Lytechinus pictus: one gene and its partner. Each later gene encodes a partner of the first gene's protein in a complex. Links are inferred from orthologs where the notes say so. Each region holds a gene or a part of one and is shown in the gene's direction. Other genes may lie near its edges. The genes, in order: dolichol-phosphate mannosyltransferase subunit 1-like and dolichol-phosphate mannosyltransferase subunit 3-like.

Region 1 (7,554 bases):
TAACTCTGAAAGTTTATGGATCTAGTTCATAAAACTTGGACATAAGAGTAATCAAGTATCACTGAACATCCTGTACGAGTTTCAGGTCACATGACCATGGTCAAAGGTCATTAAAGGTCAATGAACTTTGGCCGTGTTGGGGTATTTGTTGAATCACCATCCTAACTCTGAAAGTTTATGGATCTAGTTCATAAAACTTGGGATATAAGAGTAATCAAGCATCACTGAACATCCCCTGTGAGTTTCAGGTCACAAAACCAAGTCAAAGGTCAGTTAAGGTCAATAAACTTAGGCCATGTTGGGGTAATTGTTGAAGTGCCATCATAACTTTGAAAGTTTATGGATAGAGTGAATGAAATGTGGACATGGGAGTAGTTGACAGTCTTAAGTCTCTGTTCAAATGTCATTTATGGTCAATGAACGTGGTATTATGTCATTATATGAATGATGTTTTTGTGAATAATTATTTTATAGTAGTTTTCAAAGTTAGCACTGCTGCTATATTAAATTGCGTAATGCAGGCGAGACTGCCAGAGGCGTTCCACTTGTTTAGTTTCATGGGTTTTATTTTAGCACTGCTGGGCTAAAAGTAAATTCCTGGTTTTTATACCTGTTAGTAGTTGTAGATGTGTTATACAATTTTTGTTTTTGGTTTACAAGTATAGATGAAAAGTGAAATTTGAAATTTGCCATTTATGAAGATAACTACATGTATGATGGGATCAAATTCATCAACTGAAACAGTAAAATAGCCCTAATTCTTCCGCCAGTCAAAAAATAGTTCCAAGTCATTGATACATCTTCCCAATTTGGGCAAAGGCAGTTAAGTAGTTACCATAATTTCTAGAATCATTGTTAGATTTTCAATCATATTCATACACTTGTGTCAATCAGCAATTTATCAAATTGAAAAAAAATTGAATGGGTTGGGTCGAACAAATAGCTTTTGCCTTCTGTTGTAATTAGCCTCACGGCACCACAACCACACCACAGACCTCTACAGAGCTGGATAAAATGCTTCTTACCACAACGATAGTAGTCTCTTTCTCCACTGACACTCAATAGTTTTTTCTCTATTTTTATACACAAGAATAATTGTTGTAGCACCATCAGCGTAGTTTATTCTATAATGAAATGTATCTTGTCATATATGGTGAAAGGAAATATGCTTTTTTTATTGGTTTTGCTTCTTCTCTCAATCAGTCTCTTTTTGTTTCATACTATCATTGTTATTTCTATTATTATTTTTGTTTTTCATTTATTGTTCATATTGTTGTTGAATGTTCATTTTCATCATGATATCACTTTTGCAAACCCCCGTTTTTTACCGCCCTGGATTAATATGGGTGAAGGGTGAAGGTTTTATCGATATGAAACAAAATTGCGAATTTGTCTTGATTGAGGCTATCCAGAATGCATTATGAGCATTATTGCCAAATAAAAACAAGGAATGGAATGGAATGAGCAATATTTTGTCCAAACGGGTTGATGAGCCTCTTGGTTTCGTGAGATCTTTTTTCTTTTTTCGATTTGTCACTGTTGAACACCATAGACGTAATCGAGACAAATGGATGAGCTTAACGTAGAGAAATCGGTGAGTTTTTATTTATTTTTTATTTGATATTGATCACTTAGATGGCCTTTCCATAAAAAAACAGTTTTAATGAACAGTTCAAGCTTGCATTAATTTGCGATGCTTTTGGCGAGGGATTGGGATGATCAAATAAAGAATTTTACAAAATGGCGCCTAGATGACGTCATCATGACCAGATGACCTTGAAAAGCTTATTATGGCATCTCTAAGATAGACTTTATAAATGACATGAAATTCAGTAAAATTGATAGAGCCAATTTAGAGAAAACTTGGCAACAAGAATTGGCTATAAAAAAATAAATATATAAAAATAAAGAAAATTCTAACGAAATCAAGAGGTGATCTGTCATAGACTGACCACCTAAATATTGCACAATAAAAGAGATTAAAATTTTTATTTTTTTATTTATGTGTATTACCTATACCTTTTCACACAACCTTATCATTTCTCCCTTTTCAAGAGTATTCAACAAGTTCTAAGTTCCATTATAAAAGTTCAGTTTTCATCATGATGATCATATTGATCTGAATAAACGTGTTGATTGTATTTGTGATTATGAGAATCAGGGACAGATCACTTAATTCGTCCTCATGACGAATTAACATTCTAGTTTTCATTGAAAATCCATTAAACATAAAATTGTAAACCAAAACCTATCAAAATGAAGAGAACAAGGTCTGAATTCCTAGACTAGTTTTAGACATACATGCATGCTAATATACTGCCATCTAGAGGGAGTGAGGGACATAATAAACTCATGTGCCCTCTGGCTGTGTAAACACTTGACTCAAAATGCCTCGCAAAACCCCAAAATACATAAAAAAAGAGGAATTTCTTTAGAGGAACACCATACCATGTCATGAAGAAGCTGAAAAATGGAGAAGAGGAGGTACAAGAAGCAACACCAGTATTAGAAAGAAAGCTATCCCTCAACAAAACCATGGAGAGCCCCGATCTACAACAAAGTGGTCCCACATGCCAAGATTTACGTAGGGATCTTGATGGTTTTTACCTGGTCAGTGGGAAACGGCTTGCATCTGCTTTACAAAGGACTCATGTGTGCCAAGGAGGTTTGTACTTCTTATTGCTTATTTTTGATACTTTACTCTTTATAAATGTAGGTCATGTAGATCAATACCCATTTTAAAATGCACTTATTATGGCTTATGCCCTTAAACCTAAATATCTTCATGAATATCTAAATCTTAGTTAGATCGAGATCTGCCTGGCTCTGTCTATGTGTGCAAAAAAATGAAAATATAATGAATAAAAGACCATCTTAGTTACAATTCCCCCATCGTAAAAATGGATTGCAAATTTGCAATAATCAATCTCTTGCTTGATAATCAAGATAATATTGCTCTGAAATGGATTCTATATTTTGTAGATAAAGTACAAGTCCACCCTAACAAAATGTTGATTTGAATAATAAAAAGAGAAAAATCCAACAAGCACAACACTGAAAATTTTATCTAAATCGAATGTAAAATAAGACAGTTATATTATGTTTTAAGTTTCGCTTATGTTCACAAAATAGTTAATACGCACATGACATCCCAGTCGGTATGCAAATATATGACTTTTTATGAGGGAACTGATGACATCACTCACTATTTCTTTTGTATTTTATTATATAAAATATTTAATTTTCTCCTCACTGTCATGTGAATGTAGTTTCCTCCCTAAATATGTGGAATTAACGTCATTTTAATATTCTATGGTTCAGTCAAGTTTGTCCTTATTGTCAAATTTGTAAATATTGCAATTTCAAACAATAAAAACAAAGAAATAGCGAGTGAGGGACATCATCAACTATCTCATTTGGTGCATATAACTAGTTTGTGAAAAATTAGTGAAACTTCAAAATGTCATGTAACTTTCTTATTTTACATCTGATTTGGATGAAATTTTCATTTTTGTGCTTGTTAGATTTTTCTCTATTGATTCAAATCAACACTTTTCTGGGGTGGACTTGACCTTTAATTGATTGGCTATTCAATAATACTTGATGTGGAGCGTTGTGGCCCAGTGGATTAGTCTTCTGACTTTGAAACAGAGGGTCGTGGGTTCGAATCCCAGCCATAGCGTAATTTCCTTCAGCAAGAAATTTATCCGCATTGTGCTGCACTCAACCAAGGTGAAGTGAATGGGTACCCGGCAGGATTAATTCCTTGAATGCACTGAGCGCTGAGAGGCAGCTCAAGCTAAAGCCGGGGTAATAATAATGATAAACAATGCGCCTCGGAATAGATTATTTCTAGATAGATGGCGCTATATAAATGCCTATTATTATTATTATGATATTTCCTGACTTTACAGGGCACCTGATTCCTTTGGAAGATTTGTCAAAGAGGGAGGAGCTGCTTTGCACACTGGTCCTACGATGCTCCATCTGCAGCAAAGAGGAGGAGTTTTGTACCTCAGAGAAAGCGTTTGAAGGGCCACTGAAGTCTGCCGAGATCAACAGATGAGCTAGACTGGCAGCCAGTGAAATTGGACTAGCCCTTGGCTTCCTGTTTAAGAGATAATACAGATAACTTCTTATCTACTTCAAGGCCTTCTCACGCACACCATGGTGAAACAGTCTGAGAAGTAAAATGTCATGGTTGAGAGGGTCATACTAAAGCATTGGAGAAGTCCAGGACAATACCTACAGTGTGGGACGATCAATCGAATGATGGAGAACATTTTAAACAAAAGAGATTAACGCATGGTCTGTACCGTGCTCCTCATGAAAGCCAAGCTTGAAATGTGAGAAAATATGTTTCTTCAAAAAAGAAATCCTTGTTGAAGATCTCGACTCTCAAGATTGGTCTTGGTCTCAAGACCAGTTACGTTTCATCTTGGTTTTGGTCTTGAGCCATCTGGTCTTGGATTTCCGGTCTAGACCAGCACGTGACATTGGTACCTCAATAAGTTACATCTGATCTATTATTTACCAGGTTCATTGCTTGTTCACTTTCCACATGTTATGCATTTTAGTTTTAAACTTTGGGGAAACAATAAAATAATTTATCTTTTCAAAGCGAATTAGTTTGGTTAGTGTGTTTTTATACAGTACGTATCAAAAAAAAAGTTTATACTCTTTGCAAAAGCCCTGGGAATTAAAAAATATATGGCATGTGTGTATTTTTTTCACATATATTCTTGGGTTTGGGTCTCATCTATCCAATGAAAGTAAAAGTTTTGACAGAGTGTAACACTTGAGTGAGCACTTTCCATTTTTATAAAGCTCGCAGAAATTCTTGTTTTCACGCTGTGTCATGGGTAACAGGCGAAATCAAACTTACCCTGCGAAACATTTCTCATACATTTCCCTTGCACTTTACTCAATTGAAATAAAACAGATACATTCAAGCATTTCAATTTTGCCATCCAAATTAAAATTTTAACACTTAGTAAGTACAGCCTTTACACTTTTTGTGCCAGCTGGATCTGAGGACATAACTGAATCTAAACAAAAGTTTATATCAGACATCTCCAGCATTTGTCACCAAGTTTTTATCATTTAAAGTGGGTTTACATTTCATTTTTCAATTAATACTTGTTTCTCCACAGTTTTCCCAAGTTTGACAATGATTAACAAAATGAGAATCACGCCTAAGCCATTTCATATAAATCACAGCTCAGTGTAAAGCAAAGATCGTCACGATGGCCTCGGTGTGTGGGGGAGTGGGATGGGGTGCAATGGCACTCTTCAAAGTGTTTTGGGCAAGGAAACAAGTGAAAAAAGGTAAAAGATATTTTCAAATCAATTTTACTAGCTAAATTCCATGTGTTCTTCATGATTAAGTTCTACTTTTATTCATATATATGGTCGCATGTCATAAGGTGGTCCAATTTCGCGAACAGGGTAAAAATGGTCAAAATTTTATTTTTTGATATGTTGTAGCTATTACTATTCTCTAAATAATGAAAAGGTTTTAAGTCTCGAATACCTTTATTTTTCCTTAAAATGACTAATTAACAGCTAATTATTACATAGACGTCAATGTAAATGTGAATTTTGAAATGTGTATTTCTCAAATTGGACCTGCTGCACAGAAAATAGTGTCAAAAGTTAATGCAACATTGGATCACCCTAGTATTTTGCAGTTATAATCTTGAAAAACATCAATAATTAAATCTGTACCAAAATCAAATAATTATCTATTATTGTATGCATATTTATTATACTAATTAATTAACAGTATTTAATTTCACATTTTTGCCCCCAAAATACCTGTCACTGTATTTATATGCTTGGCAAAATGACATCATGGGTAGAAATGTTTGTTGCAATGATACACAACATTTGTACTAAAAATTAAGATTACAAATTAGTTAATTAATCAAATTTCTCTGGTTTACTAATTGATTAGGTTGCAGATCAGAGCTGACATACTTATGTATTTCATTGCTGCATATTTTCAAAATTGTCAATTTTTTTTTGACATTTAGTTCCCTGCTTTAAAATGCCCAGAAATATGAGGATAACAGTCATATTACATATTATAGTAAGTTGTTAATTAGGTTTAATTAATATTCTATCATTCACCACATCCACCGGCTCCGCCACCCCTATTACTTCAAACTTAATGTGCTATAGTTTTTGTTCCTGATATTGTATTGATCTAATTCATAGTAATATATTAAGCCTATAGTTCTAGCTTCAAAATGAGACCTTACACAACAAATTTGGCCATGGGGCTGTGATGTAGCAACAATTTATCCATGGCACCGTGTGGAAAATTGTTCATACGCCACCCTTTTTGCATACCCGACTTATGAAATGCGACCATAACTATTTCAAAGTTCCACACAAATCGTTTTTCACTAACTTTTCAAAAGTAAGTGGTGCTCTCTCAAGCGGAAATACTTTTCAACGGTTATTTCATTCGCTTATTAAATGGATCTGTACCAATGTTAAAATGTGGAAAATCTTCAGGATATTTATTACTTATATATAAGTTTACAGGGTTTTTCTAAGTGTAAACTTTTTTTTTGATACACACTGAAGAGTCTATATTTTCATTTTGAATGTGTGGTACCTTTCGTGCTATAAATTTGTAGTTGACTTTATTTTTCCAAGAAGTTTTTAAGAGATGAAGAACCATCATCCCTTTAAAGCCAGTTTGATGCCACGAGGATAAAATATGTCAGGCATCTGCTTCATTGGATTTTTTACTGTCCGATGTTAAGACAAGATTCCTGCGTATTTACAAACGTACTGACCAGTTACAAAAGGGAATATGCTATTGTAATGTCTACTTTTCACTGCTCCCGGCACATCTGTGCTCCGTAACACAAAGGTTTGCAAATCGCTAAATACCAATGACCAATCAAGATCATCGTTACATGCGCACTCTGTTTAAAATACTGACCGGGAGCCAATCAGTGCGGCTTTTTCATATTTGCAATTCATCGCAAACCCTTGTGTTACGGAGCCCTGGTCGGTAAATATATGAGCAGACCCATTGCTAATTTTCATGGGGACAGCAAAAATAAATGTAGCAATATTTTTTTAAATATAACTTGAAATTACTGGACTGGCCACATGTGACTTTAACTGACACATAACATGTATATATTCCCACAAACTAATATTGAATCATTTTTTTGTAATGAGGAAGTTTGTGGTAATGTTGATTTAAGATTTGTAAAATTCTGAGGGTTTTTCACAGTTTGCAAACTGCAATCATACAATATGTCACCCAATTTCAGGTAAAAATAAGGCTTTGAGATATAATTTGTAATGTGTTAAATGTCCATATACAGTGCACCTGTGTATTCTTGTGTACTTTAGAAAGTGGAAGCTATTATGACTTTGCATCTCATTGTCACTCTATCTCTTAAGAAAACTCCTTGATTTTTAAGATTTATTGATCTTGAAGGAAACTCATAATCTAATACCACATAATATAATTGATAAATACTGGATAATAGAAATGAATCCAATGTTACCCCAATCAGATTTCAC
Region 2 (7,386 bases), on another chromosome or scaffold:
CTGGCATACAGGCGCGGGGAGGGGGGGGGGGGGGTCTTGGTTCCACACCCAAAAGGAAATAAAAGAAATTATAGGAGACAATTAACGTATAATGAAATGAATGGAACCAATGAAATGTGTTATTTGCTGAATATGATAGAAAAATATATCACATAATTAGAATTTAATTTCAAAAGGCAATTTTTTTTTCCAGCTCGCTTTGCACGCTGGCGACTTTTTACAAAATTTTCCCACATTGCTATGTTTTGCCCCCTCAAAATATTTGGTTCATTACGCAACTGAGTTGAATAAAAGTGTTTTGTAAAAGCGCTATTCTGTTTATGCCCGCGATTTGATTAAAATAGTGGCAATCTGCTAGGTTTAAATGGCTTTGATATAATATCAAGAAGTTTCGGGGGCTCCATCCCGGACCCCAACCGCACAGCACTGCGTATCGAAGGGTTGGGCCATGGCCCCAAAAAGTTCTACAAACAAGAGCAAAAAAAAAGAGGAAAGAAAAGCGAAGGAAAAGTGTAGGATATGATTTTATTTACTGAATATAATGTAAAAAATAGCTCAAAGTTAGATTTCCATGAAAAGGTGATTTTTTTTTCTCGATCGCTTCGCTCGCTCGGGACTTATGTAAAGCAGCTTTTTAGCACATGTGCTATACTGCGCCCCTCGTTTTTTTTTTACTCTTCACGCTACTGCCGCAACGAATCTTGTTCACAGTGGCGTACAGACCACAAAAAAAGGGAATCTAAAGAGCCCGGGGGGGGGGGGGGGCCACTTCCATTCACGAGTGGATAGTGCGTCTCGAAAAGCACCCTAAACACGTAATTTCCATATTCTGAAAATGCACCCCTTAACAAGTATTAGCGTCTAAAACCCTACCCTTAACAAGTATTGGAAATAAAACGATACTCTTGGCAAATATTTCCTGAAATGAACCCCTAAACAAGTACAGGAATGTTTTATTGTTACGGGTCCTTCGGTCTTCGGCTTTACCTTATTTGGTTTAGTACGACCCCACCTTCTACACCTCGCGCAAATCGGACTCTAAACACGAAGTGTTGGGGCAAAAAGGACATCCTTTATAAAACATTTTAATTTTGTTTTATCATCCCCGCAAATTTGACCCTAAACACGTAATTTTCTTAGCGAAATAGATACCCTTTTTTCATTATTTTTGTGTTTTTGACACCCTTATCACGTTACGTACATAACGTGCCCTATCGTGAAAAAGACATCCTTTTTACGTGTTTTTTTGGTCGCGCATGGTATCCACTCGTCAATGTAAGTGGCCCCCCCGGGCTAAAGAGAGAACAGTGAAATATATCATTATCTGGATATGTCAAAATCTATCACAAAATTGGAGGTCAAAATTTTTGCTCGCTCGCTTCCCTCGCTTGCAACTTTTTTTAAAGATAAATTCTGCCAATACGCAATATCTGGCCTTCTCAAAAATAGTCGCCTCACTACACCATTACACCTGTTCATAATTAGTAGGTACGGGAAATTTTTGGCTCTTGCCCCCCCTGGCCACCGACCCCTGTTACGCCGCTGTTTAAGCTCCATATATTGAGCAAGCTATGTAAATCACCTGAAGGCAATGCGAACGCGAGCAAAAAAATTATATAGTGACATGAAAGATTTTTAAAAGATTTTTAAAATTATTTTCTTCCCCTCATCTTATTTTATTCACTCGTCTCCCTCCTTGTATAATATGTTTCCCATCCTTTTTTTTCTCCTCTTTCCCCTAAGTTCTTTATAAGTTCTTTTTTTCTTTCCCCTTTTTTCATTTTTTTTGCTCCGCCAATAGGGGAGTGGGGCCCCTGGATCCACCTATGCCTGAATGTGTGTTTCTCATTTCACTGCATATTGCTCTGTATATCACTGTTATTAATGTCATTTTTTTTTAGATAACTCTCAGCTATACAGTGCGTATAAAAAAAAACGGGACAGATTTTAAAAGTCTATACAATTTTTGTTTTATATGATCTCTACATTTTGGTGTCAATTGGTGCTCTGAAGTCTTATCCTTCAAATGCCATTAAAATATTTTAGTTTTGTTCATGCTTGAGCGAGCACGGAATGTTTTTGTCTGGGGTTAAAAATGAGGCTTGCGCCAAAATGGCATGAAATGAAAAATATGATGGTCGGACTTTTTGCTAATCAACAGACTTCCTCTTAACCTTTTCATTATCTTTGCCATAATCTTCGAATTATGAGGTCAAAATTCATTTCCAAATCTACTTATTTGCTTGAATAGTTCTGTCGTTCCTTTTTAATATGTTCTCTTTTAGCTTTGAATATTCCTTCTTTAGGCAAGAACATTTTTTTTAAACCGAAGTATGGGAGGGCGTGGTTTTTTTTTCAAAATCATTCAATGTGTGCTACAAAGGTTACGGTGCCTTTGAACAGTGGCATACTGATGGGTGGGGGCTTGGGGCGCCCCCAAATAAAAAAATCATTACCAAGAAAACAAAAGTGGATAGGAAAATAACAGAAAACATAGAAAGTGAAATATGATATCGTTTTCTGAATATCATGTCAAAATCACAAAATTTGATATTTTAATTAAAAAATTGAAATTTTTGCTTGCTCGCTTCACAACGTTTTAATACATTTTTCTCGATCTGCCATAATTGCTCCTTCAAAATTGACTCAATACATCATATTGCCATTGAAAGACGTAAATCCTTTCCTGTTTGTCCTGCATTTGTCAAGCACATAATTAAACTTGAATTGATGAAGGATTCAATAACCCCTTGAAAATAGGATTCTTTTATAGGTATATAACAGAACATAATTTGTTTCACATAATAAAAGGATTTGAATAATTACAAATTCTCCCAATTAATAATGCAAATCTTAGCTGGGTTGACAAAAAGTCTTCTTTTCTTACTTAAAGGGGAATCCAGCCTTGGCCATAAAATGTTGTGTTAATTGGGAAGGAGAAAAATAATTTAAACAGAATGGTGAAAGCTTGAAAGAAATCGGACAAGCAATAAGAAAGTGATAGCTGCTTTAAGATTGAGATCACTAATAGTATGTAGATTTCAAATTGGCAATTGAGTAAGTAAATTATGACAAGGGGGGCAAGGGCAACTTTCCCATATAGGCCATGTACTTTATTATCAGGGATTTGTGGTTTTCTCCTAAGTACCCGTTCCCATGGGGCAGTAATCTAAATATAATCCAGGTAGTATATTGTTTTATGTCCTCATGAAAGAAAAATATAACTTGAAATAAAACCTTTGGAAAAAATGACATTTTAGCCATATATTGGAGTACATGGAAGAGTAGTCCTTGCCTTACATCATTGTGACATCCCATATGCGGCCAATTTGAAGTCTCCATGGGTATAGTGATTATATACCAATATTTACAACTTTTAAAAATTCATAACTTTCTTGTTCTTTGTCCAATATCGTTTAAATAGCTATCAACTTGTCTGATTTTTCTTTTTCTTATAAAAACAAGTTTTATTTGGGTTGGATTCCCCTTTTAGGAAAATTCAAAAGTAAAAGAAGTTTAAATGAAAAACAAAATAATTCAGGTAAATAAATAAATTTGTAAATGAAATTTGACAGCATAATTCGAAAATTATGGCAAAGATAATGAAAAGATTATAGAGGAAGTCTGCTGATTAGCCAAAAGTTTAATCATCAAATTTCTAATTTCTGCCATTTGGGCGCATGCCCAACCCCCGACAAAAACGTCCCGTGTTCGCTCAAGCATGAACAATTTTTTTTTTTTTAATGGCATTTCAAAGATAAGATCTCATAGCATCTATTAACATCAAAATATAGATAACATAATTTGAAACAATTTTTTTATAGACTTAATTCAAAACTGTCCTGTTTTTTTTATACGCACTGTATAGGTAGAGCTATAAATAATGATTGACATCAAATTAGTGTTTTTTATCAGTGATAATGAACTTTTTCAAATTGTACTCTATCAACGGATAAACTTCAAATTCTTAAAACCTCTTTCCTCGCAAGAAAGTAATAAAATTATTGATTTTTTAGGGGGAGGGGAGCGTTTATCTGAGAAAAGCAGTTTATCGACTATTAATACAAGCAGGATGCGGCATTTCTCATCCACACCCCTATATTTGACGTGGATCTAACTCTTTGCGGGAACACGTACGTAACGTTAGGACTTGACTAGTTGGACCGAGGAAACCAATCTACATGATCTACGGTACTTGTTTCGAATTATTTTTTAGAACTTACATGGGTATACTAGATGATAGTCATATTTTGATTAATTTTACGGTACCGATTATAAAAAAGAGGACTTGAATCGCTTGATGATCTCTTATTTATTACTTTGACCCACGCGTTAGGAATGGTGTTAGTTCTAAATCTAAGTTACCCAATTTTGAAGAATACCCATGGCCATGACCATGTCTGCCTAACTTAGACAGTATGATGGTGGGCCCCAAGTCTGCGCACCTAACAATTTGAGTTAAGATTTAACATGAATTTCTTCTTATTTCACAAAATCTTTTGGTTAATAGTGTTCCTTATATTATTAAGTGTACCAAATTTCTCATTAAAAAATGAAAGAAAATATAAGATTTTCTTGAAAAACCTTTGGGCAGTCATTTTCAATTTCAGATTGAAAAAAAAATGGTACCCCATGTCTGCGCACTCATTCACTTTGCACACTATTCGGGGATTTTGATGACAAAGGCTGCATTTTGAGGCCGTCACATGAAATGCCCTGAATTCATTATTTTTCCACCATTTTGAGTAAGCTTGTAACCGATTTTGCAATCGGCAACCGATTCCATTCGATTTCACCACAATCGGCAATCACTTGCCGATCTTCGATCATGCCCCTTGAAGGAAAAAATCGAAAATAAAAAATCGGCGTAGATCTGGTTACAGTGCGTGATCGCTCAGAACATATTTCAAGATTGTTTTTGAGGTGCTAGCTATTTAGAGGTCGCATTATTCAGGGAGAAAGTCGCGGTATTATCTATGGCGATGTTTAAGGGGATAGATATCTTCTCTTCCAACTCATGGTGATAGCGGATGCCGCCGTGAACTTTGAAAGGTCGTATTACCGACGGAGCTCACTGCGTTACTCTCTTACATCGTTTATGATGATATACATTTTATTTTCAACCTCGTGGTGATAGCGGATGCCGCCGTGAACTTTGAAAGGTCGTATTACCGACGGAGCTCACTGCGCTACTCTCTTACCCCCTTTATAATGATATAAATCTTCTCTTCAACCTCGTGGTGATAGCGGACCCCGCCGTGAACTTTTAAAGATCGTGCTACTGACGGAGCTTATTGCGTTACTCTCTTACATCGTTTATGATGATATACATTTTATTTTCAACCTCGTGGTGATAGCGGATGCCGCCGTGAACTTTGAAAGGTCGTACTATTGACGGAGCTCATTGCGTTACTCTCTTACATCGTTTATGATGATTTACATTTTATTTTCAACCTCGTGGTGATAGCGGACCCCGCCGTGAACTTTTAAAGGTCGTATTACCGACGGAGCTCACTGCGCTACTCTCTTACATCGTTTATAATGATATAAATCTTCTCTTCAACCTCGTGGTGATAGCGGACCCCGCCAGAAACTTTTAAAGACTGTACTATTGACGGAGCTTATTGCGTTACTCTCTTACATCGTTTATGATGATATACATTTTATTTTCAACCTCGTGGTGATAGCGGATGCCGCCGTGAACTTTGAAAGGTCGTACTATTGACGGAGCTTATTGCGTTACTCTCTTACATCGTTTATGATGATATACATTTTATTTTCAACCTCGTGGTGATAGCGGATGCCGCCGTGAACTTTGAAAGGTCGTACTATTGACGGAGCTCATTGCGTTACTCTCTTACATCGTTTATGATGATTTACATTTTATTTTCAACCTCGTGGTGATAGCGGACCCCGCCGTGAACTTTTAAAGGTCGTATTACCGACGGAGCTCACTGCGCTACTCTCTTACATCGTTTATAATGATATAAATCTTCTCTTCAACCTCGTGGTGATAGCGGACCCCGCCAGAAACTTTTAAAGACTGTACTATTGACGGAGCTTATTGCGTTACTCTCTTACATCGTTTATGATGATATACATTTTATTTTCAACCTCGTGGTGATAGCGGACCCCGCCGTGAACTTTTAAAGATCGTGCTACTGACGGAGCTTATTGCGTTACTCTCTTACATCGTTTATGATGATATACATTTTATTTTCAACCTCGTGGTGATAGCGGACCCCGCCGTGAACTTTTAAAGATCGTGCTACTGACGGAGCTTATTGCGTTACTCTCTTACATCGTTTATGATGATATTCATTTTATTTTCAACCTCGTGGTGATAGCGGAAGCCGCCGTGAACTTTGAAAGGTCGTATTACCGACGGAGCTCATTGCGTTACTCTCTTACCCCCTTTATAATGATATAAATCTTCTCTTCAACCTCGTGGTGATAGCGGATGCCGCCGTGAACTTTGAAAGGTCGTATTACCGACGGAGCTCACTGCGTTACTCTCTTACATCGTTTATGATGATATACATTTTATTTTCAACCTCGTGGTGATAGCGGATGCCGCCGTGAACTTTGAAAGGTCGTATTACCGACGGAGCTCACTGCGCTACTCTCTTACCCCCTTTATAATGATATAAATCTTCTCTTCAACCTCGTGGTGATAGCGGATGCCGCCGTGAACTTTGAAAGGTCGAACTATTGACGGAGCTCATTGCGTTACTCTCTTACATCGTTTATGATGATTTACATTTTATTTTCAACCTCGTGGTGATAGCGGACCCCGCCGTGAACTTTTAAAGATCGTGCTACTGACGGAGCTTATTGCGTTACTCTCTTACATCGTTTATGATGATATACATTTTATTTTCAATCTCGTGGTGATAGCGGATGCCGCCGTGAACTTTGAAAGGTCGTATTACCGACGGAGCTCACTGCGTTACTCTCTTACATCGTTTATGATGATATACATTTTATTTTCAACCTCGTGGTGATAGCGGATGCCGCCGTGAACTTTGAAAGGTCGTATTACCGACGGAGCTCGCTGCGTTTCTCTCTAACATCGTTTATGATGATATACATTTTATTTTCAACCTCGTGGTGATAGCGGATGCCGCCGTGAACTTTTAAAGATCGTGCTACTGACGGAGCTTATTGCGTTACTCTCTTACATCGTTTATGATGATATACATTTTATTTTCAATCTCGTGGTGATAGCGGATGCCGCCGTGAACTTTGAAAGGTCGTATTACGGACGGAGCTCACTGCGCTACTCTCTTACCCCCTTTATGATGATAGACATCTTCTCTTCAACCTCGTGGTGATAGCGGACCCCGCCGTGAACTTCAAATTGATTTGAAAACGCTAGCTACCCAA

Evidence for each region.
Region 2: dolichol-phosphate mannosyltransferase subunit 1-like (region 1) and dolichol-phosphate mannosyltransferase subunit 3-like share a complex: the UniProt entries of both Homo sapiens proteins name them as parts of the dolichol-phosphate mannose (DPM) synthase complex. The link is inferred for Lytechinus pictus from reciprocal best matches to the Homo sapiens genes DPM1 and DPM3.

Annotation. Positions count from the first base shown.
Region 1 is NC_087246.1:37,878,756-37,886,309, reverse strand, and holds the start of dolichol-phosphate mannosyltransferase subunit 1-like, read left to right. Parts: upstream 1-4,305; coding exon 4,306-4,346; intron 4,347-7,554. UniProt on the Homo sapiens protein: Transfers mannose from GDP-mannose to dolichol monophosphate to form dolichol phosphate mannose (Dol-P-Man) which is the mannosyl donor in pathways leading to N-glycosylation, glycosyl phosphatidylinositol membrane anchoring, and O-mannosylation of proteins; catalytic subunit of the dolichol-phosphate mannose (DPM) synthase complex.
Region 2 is NC_087247.1:69,060,135-69,067,520, forward strand, and holds the start of dolichol-phosphate mannosyltransferase subunit 3-like, read left to right. Parts: upstream 1-4,098; 5' UTR 4,099-4,191; intron 4,192-7,386. UniProt on the Homo sapiens protein: Stabilizer subunit of the dolichol-phosphate mannose (DPM) synthase complex; tethers catalytic subunit DPM1 to the endoplasmic reticulum.